Saccharomyces cerevisiae S288C: one gene and its partner. Changing the gene in region 1 together with any one later gene gives a genetic interaction. Each region holds a gene or a part of one and is shown on either strand. Other genes may lie near its edges.

Region 1 (7,148 bases):
CTGCTGCATGACCATCCCGTGTTTTCAAACATGGTGGTTAAAACATGAATAATCTTGTCCAGTTTCAGCTGCTGTAGTATTCTTGCCAATTCCTCTGGACCTTCAGCTCTATTTATCTTTGACGCGTAATTTGATAATAGTGGAGTAGGATTCCTAAAATAAAACTGCCCGCTCAATAAATCAATTTTTAATTGAATAGGCGCCATGGAAACACATGTGGTAGGGAGTTGAAATAATAGAACATCCGAATTTTCTTCGTCTTCTTGGAATATATCCCTTGCCAACAGCTCCGATCTGATGATTCTAGCATGATTGAACATAATTTCATCCAAAATCCCTTCGATATTAGATACAATATTGTTATAAATTACAGGCATATTTTTGGCCCTTGATGCACTCTGGTTGTCCCATTTTAAGATAAGACTTTCTGTTGTTCTTTGAATGCCAATAGTGATCTTACCCTTACTGTCCATTTTCCCATTCAGCCAATATCTAACTGTAATTGTACTTTTTTTAGAGTCATAGTTATGGATCAAATTACTTTTGGAAAATTTACCGCCGTTGGCCAGCTTTAAAAACTCTCTATGAACCATGTATAGCTGTAATGTCAACACGTATTTGTGCAGAAAATTGTATAGGGATAATAATGGATCATTACTTTTCAAAAGAATTTCATTGATCAACTTCTCTAATCTTGGCTTATTCAAAGGAAGGTTATTTCCGTTGGAACTTGAGTTTTCTTCATTGTTCTCACTATCGCCGTTAGTCGAAGTAGCTTCTGTAACTGCTGAAACAGTTTGTTCAGCTTCCGTGTTAAACAACAATTTTAAATCCACAAAAAACAGAGGGGACTGTCTATTAACAGTCGATAACTGGATTTCAAATTCATTAGGGACAGTAAAGTAGATTCTACCGTTTTTGATATGATAGCTGTTTAATGGTTTAGGAATGTTCATTAATGCAATTTTTATTGAGACAGTCAAGTTCAAATCTTTTAATCTCTGTAAAATCAATCCAATGGGAACTTTGGCCATTCCATCTACCATATCCATAGAGTTACTGACACCGCTTAATTTAAAGTTGTGTGTAGGTAGATTTGGCCTCCCAAGACTCAAAACTTCCAAAGCGGTGACCAAATCCACGTTGGGCAATTTAGCATTGGTCATAGAGTTTAGACTGCTTTTCAAAGCCCAAATACAATTGTTGACATTCATGTTAGTCGTTCTAAACCAGTTCAACAGATCGATTAGTACGTGAAAGTTGTTTTGTTTTATAGTACGGGTCCATTTCACAAGCACGTAAAGTTTCAAAAATTGTGTCCTTAGGAATATAATCAGCTGTAAGAAACGTATTTTCTTTGCGGAGTTAGGCTCATTTGCCTGGGTGTGAACATTAGTTTTCATGTACTGAGCAAGTTCCTTCATTGTAAATACCGTCAAGTTCCTTATTACTAATGCCAGACTGACTTGATTAATCTCAACATGCGGCAACGCTGGCGGAGGCGCACTTGTCATAGTCGCTGCACTTGTATCTTTCGGTACCATTTCTAGAGATTCTTTTTGGGTGGCCGTAGTTTCCGGGTCGGTTGCAGAAGGGCCATGCAGTTGAGTGTTCTTAACGGGACCCTGTTGCTCTTGCCCATTCTGCTCGGACCGGTTCTTCAGTGCGTGCATCTCGTTAGAAAGTCTCTCCTCATTAGCCAGCATTTGTGGGGATCCTATCGTGGTAGTCATTGCCCAGCCAAGAAAACCCTATACTTTCCTGCCACTTTTTAACTCTTTTTCTGATGATCTTTACAACAGACCTCTACTAAACAATTGAAAAATTCACCGTTTTTACTTGAACCAGCGACCGTGCGATGGGACAATCGTTTAGTTAACAATAAGCGGGACAAAGTAATTAAATTTAGTGGCATCTAGAGAGAATAATTGAACGCAATGAAGAGAGCATGGTACGTTGAATTGTAGAATGTGGGGGGATAGTATGCGCGAGCTTGGTGACGCTATGGATAATGAGTTGAATGCAGTGAAGCCGGTGGTGGAAGAAGGTGGCATGGATGGTGCCAGAAAATTTATTAAGGGTAAGAGCTTTCAGAAGTCTTCTACCGAACATATGTTGATTTCGCCCGGTAGGGATGGTTCAGTGCCATTGAATGGGTTGAAATCGTCGCCGGCAGACCCGCACTTGTCTGATGTTAATTCTATCTTGGACAATCATCGTGGCGGTGGCGAGACAGCTTTGACGTCTGTAAATAATATTATCATGGCCACTTCGACGAATGGGGACAGTGATGGGGTTGATGGAGATGCCAAGAGGCCGTCTATTTCTAACTGTTCGTCGAGATCATCATTTTTTGACACCGTACTGAGCACGTTTTCCCTAAAATCAAATTCACAAGATACGGTTACTAATGAAGTCAAAAATATTGAGGTCCAGTTTGCATCCGAGGAGGCTAATAAAAAATTCCGCCAAATGTTCAAGCCATTAGCTCCTAATACGAGACTTATTACGGACTACTTCTGCTACTTCCACAGAGAATTCCCCTATCAGGGCAGAATCTATCTCTCCAACACACATTTATGTTTCAACTCAACCGTGTTGAACTGGATGGCAAAGTTACAGATTCCCTTGAATGAAATTAAATATTTAGATAAGGTCACCACAAATTCAAGTGCTATTTCGGTGGAAACCGTGACTAACAGGTACACTTTTTCCGGATTCATAGCGAGAGACGAGGTTTTCCAATTGATTACAAGAGTTTGGTCAAAGGAAAACTTAACCAATATCAATGACGTTTTGGAGGTTGATGAGAGGGTCTCCAAGAAAAAGGGAATATCATCGACCCCTTCTTCCATATTCAACAATGTTTCTACCAATGCATATAACGATTTCATATCGACAACCACTACTGAACCAACAAGCAGGGCTTCCTACATGAGCGAGAACGACATGCTCATCGAGGAGGCCATAAGGTCCGTGGACGATTACATGGGCACACCAAGAGCATCGCCATCTTCTTCATCTTCGTCGTCATCGTCGTCATCGTCTTTAGGCTCTTCAACAACTTATTATTGTAGGCCCGTATATAGGTTAAAGCCAAACGCACCATTTCAATATGAGGGGCCATTCCATGTACAAGAAACCATGGACTTTCCTTATAAACCTGAGGCTAATAATGAATACGTGCTTCTGGAACGTCAATTCAGCGTTCCACCCGGCCTACTTTTCATTATGATGTTCAATGAAGATAATCCAGTTTTTGAGTTAAGCTTTTTGAAAACTCAAGATTCGTCCAACATCTCACACATAGGGACTTTTGAAAAAGTCAATAAAGATGGACAACATTACAGAGAATTCCAATACACCAAACAGCTGCATTTCCCTGTGGGGCCCAAATCCACAAACTGTGAGGTAGCGGAAATTCTTTTACACTGCGACTGGGAAAGGTACATAAATGTTTTAAGTATAACAAGAACACCAAATGTTCCTAGTGGTACCAGTTTCAGCACCAGAACGAGGTACATGTTCCGATGGGATGACCAGGGGCAAGGTTGCATATTAAAAATAAGTTTTTGGGTGGACTGGAACGCATCCAGTTGGATCAAGCCAATGGTAGAGAGCAATTGTAAAAATGGACAAATTAGCGCCACTAAGGACTTGGTAAAGTTAGTCGAAGAATTTGTAGAGAAATACGTGGAATTGAGCAAAGAAAAAGCAGATACACTCAAGCCGTTGCCCAGTGTTACATCTTTTGGATCACCTAGGAAAGTGGCAGCACCGGAGCTGACGATGGTACAGCCGGAGTCGAAACCAGAAGCTGAGGCGGAAATCTCAGAAATAGGCAGCGACAGATGGAGGTTTAACTGGGTGAACATAATAATCTTGGTGCTCTTGGTGTTAAATCTGCTGTATTTAATGAAGTTGAACAAGAAGATGGATAAGCTGACGAACCTCATGACCCACAAGGACGAAGTTGTAGCGCACGCGACTCTATTGGACATACCAGCCAAAGTACAATGGTCAAGACCAAGAAGGGGAGACGTGTTGTAACAGAGTAATCATGTAATATTGTATGTAAGGTTATGTATGTTCGTATGGTATGGAAAAAAAAAAAAAAAAAGGATGCTATGTGGAGAATGTAAGGCGTGGTAGCTCCGGATAATTCAGTCTGTAGGCTTCATCACGGGCAGTGGCCTGACTCTGAGAGCTTGCTCCGGTATTAAGTTGTGCGTTTGAAATTTTCTGGAAAAAAGAAATTGATTGGTTGAAGCTATACTCGTCGAAAGATTTCTTCGGCAGTGGTTGTTGCTCCACCTGCACGGGAGTTGTGTTTGCGTTTATGTTCGGCTTGGCTATATTATTAGCGAGTGATGTTTGCAATTTGCTGTATTGAGAATCAATTTGGGTGCGTAAGCTTTCAATAATTTTGCAGACCGCAGGCACTTCCAACTTTATGAGTTGCAGGTATTCTCTTTTATGAATATACGATGACGACGATGACGACGACGCATCCATGCGCAAAAGCTCAGGGTGTCTAGATAGTTTGTTAGTCAATAAATCCACATATCTAAAATAATAAATAAACGACAGCGACAAGTCGTTGGCCTGGAACGCACACTGTGCCTTTTCCAATATGCCGATGCATGTTTTCAGGTAAATTCTCAATGGTATCGCCGGATTGAAGCGATAATCCTTAGCGTCCTGAACCAATTGCTTACTAGACTTCATGACCTACCGGGGCCAGATAAAGATGCGGAAGGAAGAGAAAAAATGTATAGTGGTTGGTGAACCGCAACAATAATTCGTGCCAACACTTTAATCGAAGCAAAAATTGTCTTGTATGTTATTAATATTATCTATCTAACCATTGATTTACGTATAAAACTGTCGATGCTCATCGCCTAGCAATGAAAAAATTTTTTCTTTTTTTTTTCATTATTTCTCTTTGTTGCGTACTTTTTTTCATTGCGTTTCGCGGCAAAAGCGATTCGAGTTGACTGGAAGTGTGTTATACTATAAAAAGTGTATATGCCTATTTTTGGTTCTGATCTTTACTTTACTGTTAAGTACTGGCTGAGGCAGTAGACTCTGCCTCTGTTACGGCAGCGGTATTCGCCTCGGCATCAGCAGCCGCCCACGGTAGAGTAGGTTCTGTTGTTTTGACGTTTGCCAAGGTACTGTCCAAATGCTCCTTCAGCAAGGCCTCATTACTTTCCTTCTCCGGACCCACCGATTGCGTGATCTCCTGTACACGGTTCAAGAACTTGTTCAAATTGTAGCCCGCAGCAGCATCAGAGACTTCTTGTGTGTAAGGGACACCCCTCAACTCCTTGACTCTTCTTTTGTGCACTTTGCCCTTTAAATGCGTTTTTAACGCTATAGCAGTCTCCATGTATTTGGCACAGTGTATGCAATAGTGCTGACCAAGGCCCGGTTTGGTTTCATCCAATGGCTGGTTCAGAAGCTTCTGTACTGATTCCTTGGTGGACAAATCGTTATAGATCAGGTCCAAGTCTCGTGTTCTTCTTTTAGTCTTGTATCTCTTCACCGAATATCTACCCATGATGCGCTATTGTTTTATCTTCACTTGTCTGTGTGTTTAACTGCCTTTCAATTCACCTCATCTCATCTCCCGCTACTTTCCATATATAAAAGCAAAATTAATTTGCTTTTTCCCCTGTCAGTATAAAAAAATTTTCCGCAGGATATAGAAAAAAAAGAAATGAAATTATAGTAGCGGTTATTTCCGTGGGGTGCTTTTTTACACCTGTACATCTTTTCCCTCCGTACATTTTTTTTATTTTTTTTTTTGGTTTTTTTTTTTCGATATTTTTCCCTCCGAAACTAGTTAGCACAATAATGCTGACTAAGGAAACTTTTCATCTCAGAATTGATGGTCAGTTTGGTTTCTCTAGAGAATAGTTTATAAAAAGATGTTGATGTGGAGCAACCATTTATACATCCTTTCCGCAAGTGCTTTTGGAGTGGGACTTTCAAACTTTAAAGTACAGTATATCAAATAACTAATTCAAGATGGCTAGAAGACCAGCTAGATGTTACAGATACCAAAAGAACAAGCCTTACCCAAAGTCTAGATACAACAGAGCTGTTCCAGACTCCAAGATCAGAATCTACGATTTGGGTAAGAAGAAGGCTACCGTCGATGAATTCCCATTGTGTGTCCATTTGGTTTCCAACGAATTGGAACAATTGTCTTCTGAAGCTTTGGAAGCTGCTCGTATCTGTGCCAACAAGTACATGACTACTGTCTCCGGTAGAGATGCTTTCCACTTAAGAGTCAGAGTCCATCCTTTCCATGTCTTGAGAATCAACAAGATGTTGTCTTGTGCCGGTGCGGATAGATTGCAACAAGGTATGAGAGGTGCTTGGGGTAAGCCACACGGTTTGGCCGCTCGTGTCGACATTGGTCAAATTATCTTCTCTGTCAGAACCAAGGACAGCAACAAGGATGTTGTCGTTGAAGGTTTGAGAAGAGCCAGATACAAGTTCCCAGGTCAACAAAAGATTATTTTGTCTAAGAAGTGGGGTTTCACCAACTTGGACAGACCAGAATACTTGAAGAAGAGAGAAGCTGGTGAAGTCAAGGACGACGGTGCTTTCGTTAAGTTCTTGTCCAAGAAGGGTTCTTTGGAAAACAACATCAGAGAATTCCCAGAATACTTTGCTGCTCAAGCTTAAGTTCTTTTCAAACATTTGAACTAACTTAAAAGAGAAATTTTTTTGATTTAAATTCTAGTTTATTAAACAGTAAATATATTTATACATTATTGTAATACATATAATTATGTGTTTTTTTAAAGTTCAGCATGTTGGGTAGTGATATATCCTGAAGTCAATGGACACTGTTGCTTTTTGTATACCAGCAGGAAAAAAAAAAGCCTGAGCTGCAGTAACGAAGAATTGTTGAATGCGTCTAACAAGAAAGGGAGCAATCGATAACAGGGACGTGCGCCGCTAATGTCATTCAGATTATTCACGAGGACTTCTCAACGTCTCCCTCGCCTTAACTGGGTTAGTCCCATCAGGCGATACGCCAAACAACCTCAATACGATGAAGCAGAGTTGTTTGCAGAGAACATTAACCATGGCGCATATAAAGCAAAGAAAAGGCCATCAGACGAGCATTT
Region 2 (5,318 bases), on another chromosome or scaffold:
GTTATTTAAAGTATGTTAATCCTCCTTGTTCTTTTATATTTATTTCGAATTCTTTTGCACTAGTATTAAAAATATCAGCAGAGACGTAAAAGTGCACCAAAATTATTGTAAAACTACTTGCCCTAAAATTGATACTTCATACTCGACATTCAAAAGGGGTCCAAGTTTGGATGCATCAAAAAAAAAAAAAGAAATTATCCAATGATGAGCAAATGGTAGCTTTTCGTTCCCCAGAAGTGTAGTAGTTCCATGAAGTCTAATGACACTTTGGAAAAAGGTTTGTCACGAGCACCTAACTACTGTATTTTGGAATTTTGATAAACTTCAAAACGGGAACGAAGTGTTAAACTTAGATGCGGTTGACTTAAGCTTTAAAAGAGGAAAATAATGACTGATGATAAGAATTCAACAACGATTCAAAGCAGGTGAATTTCCATTACGTTTCGCTTTTCAATTGAAAAAAATTTGGTGGTTATTCGTTTCTTGCTTGACCTCTTTACTTTTTATACTTCTGTGATGAGAAGCAAGTTCGAGGATTTTACGATAAAGCCTACTGGTTATATTTGTATAAATTAGAACGTTGTCCTTATTTCTCTTTTCGAACAGTATCAAAATAAAGTTTTTGATCAGGGCCAGATTCTCTTCAAGGAAGAGATACCTCACGTCTGTAATATCTAAGAGCTAATGTTTCGATCGAACTTTCCTTTGCTTTTTTTCTGGATCTCATGAGGTCCCACTGTATGTATGTGCCCTCGCACAGTTTTGCTCATCATAAACATTAATCATTGGTTTTATGATAAGAATATCGTAAGAATTATTTTAACTTTCAGATTAGATTCCGGCCATATTTCTGACATTTGTTTTATTAATAAAAATTTGGCGAATGCTTTGATAACTGCTGATATTTCATTGTTGAAAAGGCATGATATAAGATGCACAAAGTATATTATAACTTATTATCAGAGATATAGGAACAAAGAAAAAGGGAAATTCATATCTCTATGTAAAAATACCATTATTTCCTCTTCTGTTTAATATGCTGTCCTTAATTTTCATGTTACATTATCAACTTTTGCATTTCAGTGTCCATTAGATCTTGGGACCATTTCCTCAATCTTCATGTCGTCTTTTCACACCGTATATAATATACTAGTAATATAAGTACTAGTCGATAGCTCGCAGTTGAGTCTTATTCCAACAGTTAATGACTCACTGTGCTTTCTGTTGCTGTAGAATTTCTGAGGCATTGTCGCTCTCTTCTATGTGATGCTACAACGGAACTAGGCTTCTTATATATCGTGGTCCTACAAGATCTTGGTATCTCGTTTGCTTACTTTGAAGCTTCACTGATATATAGTACTTAAACCACTTTTATGTTCATGGATAATCGTAATTGTACTACGCTGGTACCAGTTATGAACCCTATCAAATCATCATTGAACACTGCTATTTTTAACTAATCAAGATATATATGCGGCGTACTTTATAATTTCACGACACTATTGAAAGCAAACTAAAAATCAAGTAAATACCTATCCAAGTTGCGGGCTCTGGATTTATGTGGCCTTAAATTTTCGACCTATGGTTCGCTATTCAATATTAGAAAACCAAAATTAGGTACAAGTACTGATTGCGTCCGTGATTTGAAGAGCAGCGTTAAAAGATTACAAGATTTTGCGTGTCTTGGCCGACACTTAACTTTAAGCGTCTCGACTTGGTAACATGAGTTGCCAAAAGTTTTTCTCTCCAATCTGAATATGGGGAACCGGAATCTGTCTTTGACCTGACTTTCAAATTGTTGCATATGTAAAAAAAAAACAGAAGAAATATTATCTTGTCCTTCTAGCGATGCAAAAGGATTCATTACAAATCGTTGCAAAGGCCGAAAAGTTGCAGTATATTCGCATTGCTTATTTGAAGTACGTTTGTATACACATCGATAGTATTCATTAACACCACAACGGCTGAGTATACTATGTCAAACAGCACAATAAAGCCTGTCTGCGATTTTTTCCTCTACGTTCAAAAATCTCATTCAAGGCATAATCCCATATGTTGAAGATCGCTACCCATTGTTACAGGCAAACTGAATTTTTGGAAATGAGCTTGTACTTAGTAAATTTCTCTTTGCTTGCATCTTTTTCTTCCTTGTCAAAAAATAAAAGATACTCATTTTAAAAGCGCAGCCATATTGACTAAGTAAGTAATTATAATACTATGAGTAATTTTTGAGTACTGTGCTCATTTATTAGCTGCTTTTCTGAGAAAGATCCTCGATAATCAACTCCAGGTTAGTGGGGCGCTTCTACGGTCTCTTCTAACCAATTGTTCCCCGTGAGTTGCTTTCTCCGAAAACCTTATTATACATTAGGGTTATAAGAAAATTTTCTTTTTCCCGTAGATTAACTTGCAATGCCGAACTTCTAGATGTCACACCAGACCGTTTGACACCGCCATTTTCCTTCCTTTTCGGAAAAATGTGCCGATAAATGGTAAGACGCGACGCCACCGCTGCGAATATTGCGCTTATGATGAAGCAAAAGGAAAAAGCAAGTTCCCCTTAAATTCGTATAACTGTTTCATCAATCTTTAGTTCTGGCATTTGAAAGTTAATTAAACTTTTCTTCGTGGTTTCTACAGGAGTTCTGCATGTGCGTAATTCGAAGCCTGTGAAGGAAAAAGTATTGTCCTAAACAACAGCCGTAGAATACGTCAACTATAGTTTAAAATATTTTCTGGCTCTACCCGGTGCGATAGGTCTGGCTCTTTTCTATTTACTTTTGTTTGGAGTTGTTGAGGCCGATACCCGTCTAGATGTAAATATGAAATAACAGTTCGAGGTTTTATTACGAGAATGGAAAGGGTAATGGATTGGAGCATGTGTAAATGTCAATAGCAGAAAAAATTTACCGCAAATTGTTTCGTAGTCTTATCTTCATCGGACACTCAAGGGTTGCATAATTTTTACCCAAAGGAACAGTATACTTTTTTAATAAAAAAATCATGTTACCTATGGAGTATTGTAAGCATTTTCAGAAACTCGTCTTTTGAGTTCTAAATGCATCATACAACAACAACAATTTCTTATTACTGTGTCCTTTTGGGATTTTTCAGCCTTCCTGGCTTACCCAAAATAGCCTCTCAAGGTGAAAAAAACCATGCCTGCAAGCGGATCTAAGGATGAGTAGCTGGATTACAATAAATCCTGAATTTTCTCTGAGTGTCAACTTTGTCAGCGCTTGTTAAAGGGCTACTACGCTGAAAAAGAACCTGAACCCCGTTAATAGGTTGACGATTTTATGACTTGGTATGCTATTCCATACGGCGGCTCTCCTGATTGCGGTGGGTCATTGCTATAACAGTAAAATCAAGGAAGATAACAGGAAGAGTAACTTTAGTACAATAAATCTGTTGTCTACCGAGGATTATAATTGTTCGGCTTTCACACTAAGTTGAAAGGGGACTCAGGAAATGACAGGGTACGTTTTAGTTTCTTCAAATAAATCTTCCACACCCAGCTTCAATGTGGTAAACGGGGGAAAGTTGATTAGTTGATGTTGACACGTATATTTAACTGATGTAGAGAAGAACAACATACTACTAACGTCACAGTCAATTGTGCCAGTTTTCCAATCAAGATAATGTAAAAGTAATTGATATATGTTCGTACTGGTTTCCCAATTTCCGGGAAAAACTGTGTACATGGGTGCAATTCCTTGTGGTTATTTCCTTTTAAGTTATATTGCCAACCACATCATAGTACTATTTGCGGTCACTTCAGAAGATATGTTTGCTCCTTTGACCATGATATAGACCAGACCAACTGTACCGCTTCAGACTTCAGAGCATTAGGAATAAGCACCACTATTACACAACCATAGAGCTACTCTTACTGCCACGTAGGTAAAACACTTGCTACTACACACACTCGTAGTGACTCATCTGACTATATTACCGGTTGTTAAGAGGCACCAGTTCAAGCACGCCATCAAGAGTACCGAATAATCTCTTCTGTATCAAGTATTCTACCTTTATGTCTGACCCACGTATTATGTGGAGCAATTACGTATTTTTCTCATATCAGCTTTGTTTTTACTCAACTTTAATATCTTAGAGAAACAGATCTTGATGTTACAGCAAGGTCAAGAAAATATTTTGACAAAAACATACTAGTTTCATCCTTAGTAGTTGGTTCTATGAATGCTGTACTTGAAGCTATTGTTCATAAAATCCTTAAGTTTTACCAACGGTATAATATCCTGCTATTAAATCTGCAATTACTTTTGCGAAAAGAAGGAAAACAGGCAAAACAAAAGCAAAAAAATTGGCATCCCAATTTCTTATAATATAATAGTATAACGGATGTACACCATGCTTTCAATAATAAGAGGTTTGCTGAAAAGGGCAACTATCTGACTAGTTCAGAGCCATGCAAAAGTTAAGGATGAAAATGCCAAATAAGAAGATATTACGGAGTACATTCATTTCAAAAAGAAGAATGTATACTGCTTAGATAAGAGGATCGAGTTTTTATATTTCCGACCAAATAAGCAGTCGAAAACTTTTGATGCACCAAACACCGTTCTTGAGAGCCAAGCACAGATGCAATTGTTCTGCCCTTCTTCCAAATTATGAATTGTGCATCATATCGTAAGGCCAGCCACATAAAAAAAAGGACCAAAAAACTCAGTATGCAGGCGAATATTCATCATACAGTCTAGCTGCCCTCACTACTTCCAAAAAAATGGGCTAGTGTTGTACGGTTTATGCCATATATCCAGAGTTAGCATAACTATGCACTACCGCTTTTCGAACAAAAAGTTTGCGAGACCTAGTTCATTGAATATGACTTACCAAAAAAGGATACTAAGATCCTGATAATAAAGTCAATAACTTGAATTTTAGGTGGAATATCTCTTATGCCTTTATTTTCAACAATCATTATAGACTAACTCTACCAGCAGATTATGATGCCGTTCTTCTAGTCGAGCACATGGTCAAAATAGTCAATAAAAAGGCCCAGAAATGGCGGTAAATTAGTGGTCGTAGTAAGCAAAATAATTTCCTAATTCCTTCCAAATGGGGTTTTCAAAAAGCTGACTCACGTAATTGATCAATACTTCACTAAAGAAGAATCATATGAATAAAACCAAAATCAACACTAATTGAGAGACTTAGCGGCCAAAGCTTAATCATCATTACATAGAGTATATGAAGGGGGGAGTAAGTGAATATGCAAGGGTGGGAAACGGCAAAGTATTTTTATGCAAAAAGCGTATTTACAAATCCCGTAAACTCATGATGTAAATTTTGTAACC

What was found. A genetic interaction does not mean that the proteins touch.
Region 2: mutations in LAM6 (region 1) and YAL064W together harm fitness more than expected from each alone (negative genetic interaction), as found in Saccharomyces cerevisiae (one large-scale study listed by BioGRID).

The regions. Positions count from the first base shown.
Region 1 is NC_001144.5:276,894-284,041, forward strand, and holds LAM6 (Lam6p), read left to right. Parts: upstream 1-1,968; coding exon 1,969-4,050; downstream 4,051-7,148. Other genes in the region: RGR1 (Rgr1p), read right to left, coding at 1-1,733; RFU1 (Rfu1p), read right to left, coding at 4,126-4,728; BUD20 (Bud20p), read right to left, coding at 5,063-5,563; 60S ribosomal protein uL16 RPL10, read left to right, coding at 6,034-6,699; FMP25 (Fmp25p), read left to right, coding at 6,979-7,148.
Region 2 is NC_001133.9:18,112-23,429, reverse strand, and holds YAL064W (uncharacterized protein), read right to left. Parts: upstream 1,865-5,318; coding exon 1,580-1,864; downstream 1-1,579. Other genes in the region: YAL063C-A (uncharacterized protein), read left to right, coding at 745-1,035.